Linked DNA regions of Bombyx mori. The protein of the gene in region 2 interacts with the protein of the main gene of each other region in a biochemical or structural test. Links are inferred from orthologs where the notes say so. Each region holds a gene or a part of one and is shown on either strand. Other genes may lie near its edges.

Region 1 (3,521 bases), on a different chromosome or scaffold from region 2:
GGGGGGGGAGTATTGAAGTGGTGACGTCACCTCCGTGGGCAGCTGGAAGGACGTGGACTGCTGGAAGGGCCACGAGCCGGACGACAGCACCTGGATGCTGAAGTCTATGTGCAGGGGCTGCTCCGAGCTGTTTGCCATGTGCTTCCTGAAGTTCTCGTTCAAGTCCTTCGACACGCCAATGTCCTGTGCGAGATATTAAATTAATCATCATCATAAATTCACACATTGATTTGTTTATATTGTGTTTTTGAAGTTATACTTCTTTAGGCGCGTTATGAAAAATTGATGAGAGTGAAATTTTACGATGCGCGCGCACCGTGACACAAAATTAACAGAAATGAAGTTGGCCACTAAATCGCTCATTACAATACGACCGACGTAACTTGCGAGTCTGAATATAGCCGCAGGTGAACTTTCGCGCATGCTCACTCGCAAAAAAAAAAGTGTTATTAGCATTCATTTTTTAGTAATATAAATGACAAAATTATTATTTAACATAATTCATACTAAATATTATTAAATTATTGACGTTAAATATTTATTAATTAAAAAAAAAGAAATAAATTTAATAAAAATAAAGTATAGCTTCTTACGCGCGTACGTACATAAGTACACGCATCCTTTTTTTTATTATAGCTCTTTTATTTTAAAGATAAACTAAATAAACTTCTGTAAAATTATAAACGATGAAACAAGTTGAGAATGATTATTTTTTAATAAAAACAGAAAATTAAGTGAACCGAAAGAAATGGGTTATATGAATAGACGTCAAAAGTGAAGAATAAAAAACCACATTAGCTATTATCAAAATAGCAAAGAGGTCCGCAACAATTCTCAACAGTTTTTTTATTAATTCCATAGATATTTTATGATGAGAAATGCTATTCATGTGTAAAGGGAAAAATTAAACAATCCCAGAAGGCCCACTGATTTTCTCACCGGTTCTTCTCAGTGGTTGCGACTTCGTTCCGGTAAAAGATTCAGCCAAGCACTACTCTTGCTAGGGCCATGTTAGCAATTCTCTGAATAGCCTTCAAAGGCTACTGGCAAATAGGTAGACGAAAGGACTTAAAAGCGCCAGTTTTTAGTAAAATTACTAAATACTAACTTGGAACATTCTCTGCAGTTTGCTTGTGTACTCGAATCCGCAGGCTTGTTTCAATTTTGAGATCATCGACGCCTGTCAACAGAAACACATAATGTAGTTGTAACGATTATTTATAAAGCTCAACTTCTCTGCGTCTAGACAGACTCAGCTTTATAAATTTTATGGTTTTTTTTAATGCTTAATTTGGGAAACGAGCTCACAGCCCACCTGGTGTTAAGTGGTTACTGGAGCCCATAGACATTTACAACGTAAATGCGCCACCTACCTTTAGAGATATAAGTTCTAAGGTCTCAGTATAGTTACAACGGCTGCCCGACCCTTCAAGTCGAAACGCATTACTGCTTCACGGCAGAAATAGGCAGGGCGGTGGTACCTACCCGCGCGGACTCACAAGAGGTCCTATCGTAAATAAAAGCGATGACGCCTGACCACCACCAGGGATACTTCCTCAGCGCCGAGATTGAGACGAAGCATACTGACCTCTGCGTCATCGCTGGCCGACATGTGCTGCACCAGTCTCTTCGCCAGCATCTTGCTGTAGAACTTCTGGAAGACGTCCTTATCTTCGATGTACTTGAATACTACCATCTGCAATTTTAATTATCTCTATTATTCGAAGAGGTCAAATCAACAAAATTGGAACTCCGCTATCTGGTCTATTTGATAGATTTTTTTTTGTTCATCATCTATTGATTTATCACGTCTCCTCCCCGTCAATTCCTACCACCAATTTCAGACGAGATCAATCTATCTATTGATTATAGGATATAAATGAATGATCCATAAATCCACAAAAATCAACGCAATCCAACATTTGTATCCTCTAAGCTTAAGTGTGTGTTTGTTCACCCGCTTTGTCGTATTTAAATAATAACTTGGATAGTTTTCTAGAATTTATTAAAACATTACTTAAATAAGATATAAACAATTGGTAGAAATTTTGCAGGAGGGAAATGGAGGGAAAATGCAAAGACACAGATTACACTAAGGAGATATTTTTTAAAGGATTTTATGACCTGGTAACTGAGACCTTTAAGTCATATCTTATTTTAATTTATATTCATATTTTTATGGAAAATGATATTATGGAGTGAAATGAAATGAAGATGATTAATTTGAGACATTAATCAACTGGGATGAAATTAAATGAAATGAAATGAGATGATATGGGATGAAATATAATCTCAGTAAGATGGTGGTCATTCACTAAGATTTTTTCAGTGGACTTTTTGGAGGATCCTGAGAAGTTACGTCCAGCGGCTTTGTTTCATTTTCCCACATTTAAACCTGAAGAAACACTAAATAGACAAAATAAAATAAATCGCACAACTTCACTCCTCGCGTTCCCGCCAAAAAGTCCACTAAGGAGATAGATTATACAAACTCAACAGTGTGGTCGCATAGATACTTTAAAATGTATTTTATATTATGAGTCCACGTAACACAGCCATAGCAAAGTTCATTCAAAATTTTTCTAATGAAATACGTACTCAACAAATGTTCACGATTGACTTCCACGGTGAAGGAATAACATCGTGCAATAAAAATCAAACCCGCAAAATTTATAATTTGCGTAATTACTGGTGGTAGGACCTGTTGTGAGTCCGCACGGGTAGGTACCACCGCCCCGCCTATTTCTGCCGTGAAGCAGTAATGCGTTTCGGTCTGAAGGGTGGGGCAGCCGTTGTGACTATACTGAGACCTTAGAACTATATCTCAAGGTGTGTGGCGCATTTACGTTGTAGGTGTCTATGGGCTCCAGTAACCACTTAACACCAGGTGGGCTGTGAGCTCGTCCACACATCTAAGCAATAAAAAAAAACATGGATTCTTGAGATTTTGTATTTGAGTGTACTCACGACTTGATTCAAGGTGTCTTCAAGTTCAGCCTCCTCGGGGTTCTTGCTGGACTTCTTGAGCAGCAAATCGCAGTACTTGGCCAACAGTTCCGGACTCTTCGACGAGGAGTTCGCCGCTTTCGTCACCGCGTTGCCTGCGATTGGTTGTCACACTTAAAACTTATTGGTTCTATTATAATAATTATTATTAACGTATTTTATAACTTTCTTTGTCAACCCTAAAAAAAGATTGACGTATGATACTAATATCAGATTTATTTGGTTTGCCATGAATGTAACTTTATCGTGTGACGTCATTTGGGGGTATAATAAAAGACGAGCTAACCGTGAATCGCACAACGATTAAACAGATTAGCTTTTGTTTGATAATTTTCAGAGTAACACAATTTCATTCACTTCTACTTTCGGGCCGGGTGCGATCCAGAGTGGTTTGTTTGACTAGCCGATGCCTACGCGCGCATTGCTGTTAGCGTGGACCTATATGTTACTTATGACGACGCTTGCAGCTGAAAGCAAGTATTGTACTTTTTGACGAAGCATGTTGCTGATAACTC
Region 2 (3,984 bases):
GACTTAAACCTCTTGTCTCAAAGCTTCATTCTTGTATGAATGTACATGTACATGATGTAAATGAGCTCCAATAACTGACAACACAAGGTTGACCCCTGAGCTTGTTCATCTATATAGGCAATGAAAATAAAAAAATCCAATTATGTCTATTTACCGTAGGTATATGTGGTTGGACTTCTTTAGGACACTTGAGGACAAATGCTTCAAGAGCCTGCAAGCAATGTTCCCGTAATTCTTCATCTGTATCTTTTGAATATTCCAAAACTGATGGTGCCACACGCCACAATTGTTCACCAAATCGGTGTCCAGCTTGACGACTAAAATAAACAAATTTCAAGAGAATTTAGTCTAATTAATATAATTTTTCTTGCCTAGATCCTACACATGCTGCAAAATTAAAATATGAATGAACAAAAATGTCAATTAACTCACAACATACCATATAGAAGCAATGCACTGTATGTGTGTTCGGCTGACACTTGATGAAGTTGAAGAGCTCAGACCCTCCAGTAGATGGTCTATTAACTTGTTATAAAGCGAAGCATTGCAAGACATGACCAAATGTGACAACGCAACTATGGTGCGCTTGCGAACAGCCTGGAATTTTTTAATATTATATTACGTAAATTTTGGATCAACGTACACCTTCATACTTTGCTATATATATATATATTTCATAATTTTTTTGTAATGGACTATATCGTTAGGTGATAGCTCACCACCTACCTAATTCTATGTCATTACCAGAGTTTGAAAGATATTAGGATATGAATGCAGCCATCCACTAAAAGACATAAGTTCAATGTTTGAATTTATACTGTGCCTAAATTGTCCCACAGCTCAAACTGGTATATTTGAGATATCTGCTAACAATACACATAGTGAAAGCACCTAACCCATAACAGCTACAAATTACCTGTTAAGATAGTTAAGATAGTTAATTACTTTTCTTTGCAAATAAATTTATGGTTGCCTTAATTCTTCATTTTTGGTAATAGTTGACCACAGCTCACAAGACAAAAAACCTTTATAATTTGATTAAATAAAATTTTAACTTGCTATTGCATTATATAATTAATATCAGCATGGAACATTTAATTTTAATATTTATTACATTACATATTTTCATTATTATTTTATATGTTGATAGTAAACAATAAAGTGTTCCCGAAATGTATGACCAACCACCAAGAAACATAATAATCAAGAGTCCAAATGGGACAATGAAGGTAGCAACAGCTGCTCCTGTAGGCTCCTTTAACTTTGAAATATCGGGACAACCAAAAGTTAGCCTACAAACTTTGGATACATAATAATATATAATTGGATCACAGGTGTTTTCATTGCTACTTGTATACCTGACGGGGAGATGCAAGCTGCGGCAACAGTGAATTGAGCAGCATAGGATGAAATGATATCAATAAACCACCAAATCTGCTCAATAAATCAGCAAGAATATCAAGTGCTTCAAGTTGAACTGAAACATCTTCTTGCTGAAAAAATTAAGAAGAATAATGACATGTTTATTTTTTGAAGAGAGCAATAAATTGAACAATCCAGTGAAATATCTAAACATCTATACTGTACCTTTTCTATAGCACTACTCAATTTACCAGTTATTTTCTTACAAACATTAGCAGCAAGAGTATTGGAACCCAGTGGGAGTTCAGAAATTACAGTCTTTAATCCAATGCTGCTGATGTCCCTTAGCTGCTCAGTATCCGAAAGCATATTGGCACAAAGTGTATCAACTATACCTTCCACCTGATACTCCTTTACTTTGTTTACAAGAGGACCGAGGCTGAAAGTGAATTATTGTCAAGGGTACTGGTTTGTTAATATCAGTATACAGTATTATAAAATTATGACTTTAACAATATTATCATCAGTAAAGTCTATATTTTGGTGTGTGCTTCTTTCTTGCAGCAATAGAGCAAAAGATTAACATATATTTTTTTTAGTATGAGAAAGTTGAAATACCTAAGTGAATTTGGTTTAAATTGAGAAAAAGTTATGTAATTTTACAAATTTAACACTGATAAAAGTACAGAACAACTGAGACTATTAGACTTGACTTTGTAAAGGAAACTTATCTAATTTCATAAAACTATGACAAAAATCTGCGACAGCGAATATTGAAATTTTATCTTCTACCATACTTTTTCATAAGTAGTTTGAATAGAACTTAAAAAATTGGGAGTTAAATCACATGCAGGATTGAATCACATGCAGGATTGATACTCAGATTTATTGTGCTTGGAATTATGAAATATCAAACGAACCATTTCACAGCTAAATTCTGAACTTCACCATTCTTGTCTTCGAGTAATCGTAGAAGCATTTTTACTACTTTTCTTTCAGAATCATCGTCGAGCTTGATACTGTCTTTTTGCAACTCTGTCATCAAATCATTAGTAGCCATAAACCTGAAGTCTTTATCATTGGATGTCATCTACGAAATAAATAGAAAATCCTCAATAAATGCGAGCTTATTAGATACGAAAACATTGAACTAGTTAACAAATTAACCGGCTTACCTTCTCAAGAAGATGTGCTATATGGTAAGACACATTAGCCATTGTGCAAATCCTATCAGTGTCTCTTCCAAAAATAATTTTAAAATATTAAGACCTAACGAGAGCTAATTAGTTGAAAACAGTTTAATCAACATTAATTCACACGAGAAAAAATTTGCAAAAAACTAGGTAAAACTAAAACCTCATTTAAGTGACCATAGATTTTTTGTCAATTTTTTATTTTGCATTTTTAGGTACACAGACCTCTATTGAACAGTACTCACTGTAGATAATTACAAGCCAAAGGCATCGAGACCATTATAGGCCAACAGCATTGTGTTCAGGGCCGTAAAATAGTCATGTTTTTTTTTTCAAATTTATCGTCTAAACAGTCGTTTCTTTCAAAACCATATTATGAGTAGGTAATGTAAATTTTTAATCAGCAAATTAGTAAACTAACAATATTCGGTTACAAAAAAACCTTTTTTACTAACATAATTATTTTTTTTATAAATTAAAAGGCTTATGGCGTCTTACAGAGTCTTACTCATATACAGGGTGTCCCAGAAAGAATGGATAATCCTGAAACACCTCATAGTAGAGCCATTGAGGACACAAAAAAAAATAAAAATAAAAAAAACTCAGGTAGTACCCAAATTATGTATTTTAAAAAAAAGTTGATATTTTCCATACTGCTGTGCGTTTCTGGAATATATAACAGCTACAAATAAATGAAATCCATAAGCTTTTTGGTGTTATAATATTTTATATGGACTATACTAAGGAATATGTAGAAAATCGCATGAGTAGCCAGTGTAATTTTTTATAAAAGTTAATCTGAACTTCAATTTTAATAATGAAATTTGGTATTTTTATTTTATTTTTAATTTGGGTGCTACCTAAGATTTTATTTTTTATTTTTTATTTTGTGTCCCCAATAGCTCTACTATGAGGTGTTTCAGTATTATCAATTCTTTCTGAGATACCCTGTATATTGAGCGCCAAGTATGAAAATAATTTATCATTATTTTCTGCTTTTATTACTATAACTTCAAATATGCAGATTGCAGAGGTAAGTTGTTGTTAATTGGAAATAATATAATTAGGATTTTTATAAATACAATTATTGATGAATGAGTTTTTTTTTACTATACAAAATTATCCTATTACATTTGTTGTGAATTACAAAAAAAAAGGTGCGCGTGCAACTTGAGGCACGTGACACGTGAAAGAAGTGTAACTAAATTTGCAGTGTGTAGTATTACGGTTTTCTTCATTTTTCAAACTTAAATCAATTTTTTCTTGCAATAGGGAATACTATGTATTAGAGAAACGATCTCTTCTCCATTTATATATATTTTAAATTATATATAGAAAAATATATTTTTTTAATCCATAGTTAAAAATAAAATTTAAGATAGATAATATGTTACTGCCATCTACAGGAGCAATGAGAAACTAATAACAA

What was found.
Region 1: the proteins of cullin-associated NEDD8-dissociated protein 1 (region 2) and cullin-1 form a complex in vitro, tested with the Homo sapiens proteins (6 studies listed by BioGRID and IntAct). The link is inferred for Bombyx mori from reciprocal best matches to the Homo sapiens genes CAND1 and CUL1.

What each region holds. Positions count from the first base shown.
Region 1 is NC_085108.1:4,435,868-4,439,388, forward strand, and holds part of cullin-1, read right to left. Parts: intron 3,102-3,521; coding exon 2,968-3,101; intron 1,697-2,967; coding exon 1,589-1,696; intron 1,181-1,588; coding exon 1,109-1,180; intron 184-1,108; coding exon 31-183; intron 1-30. UniProt on the Homo sapiens protein: Core component of multiple cullin-RING-based SCF (SKP1-CUL1-F-box protein) E3 ubiquitin-protein ligase complexes, which mediate the ubiquitination of proteins involved in cell cycle progression, signal transduction and transcription.
Region 2 is NC_085111.1:7,841,769-7,845,752, reverse strand, and holds the start of cullin-associated NEDD8-dissociated protein 1, read right to left. Parts: upstream 2,809-3,984; 5' UTR 2,580-2,808; coding exon 2,538-2,579; intron 2,453-2,537; coding exon 2,283-2,452; intron 1,802-2,282; coding exon 1,588-1,801; intron 1,494-1,587; coding exon 1,359-1,493; intron 598-1,358; coding exon 440-597; intron 318-439; coding exon 155-317; intron 1-154. UniProt on the Homo sapiens protein: Key assembly factor of SCF (SKP1-CUL1-F-box protein) E3 ubiquitin ligase complexes that promotes the exchange of the substrate-recognition F-box subunit in SCF complexes, thereby playing a key role in the cellular repertoire of SCF complexes.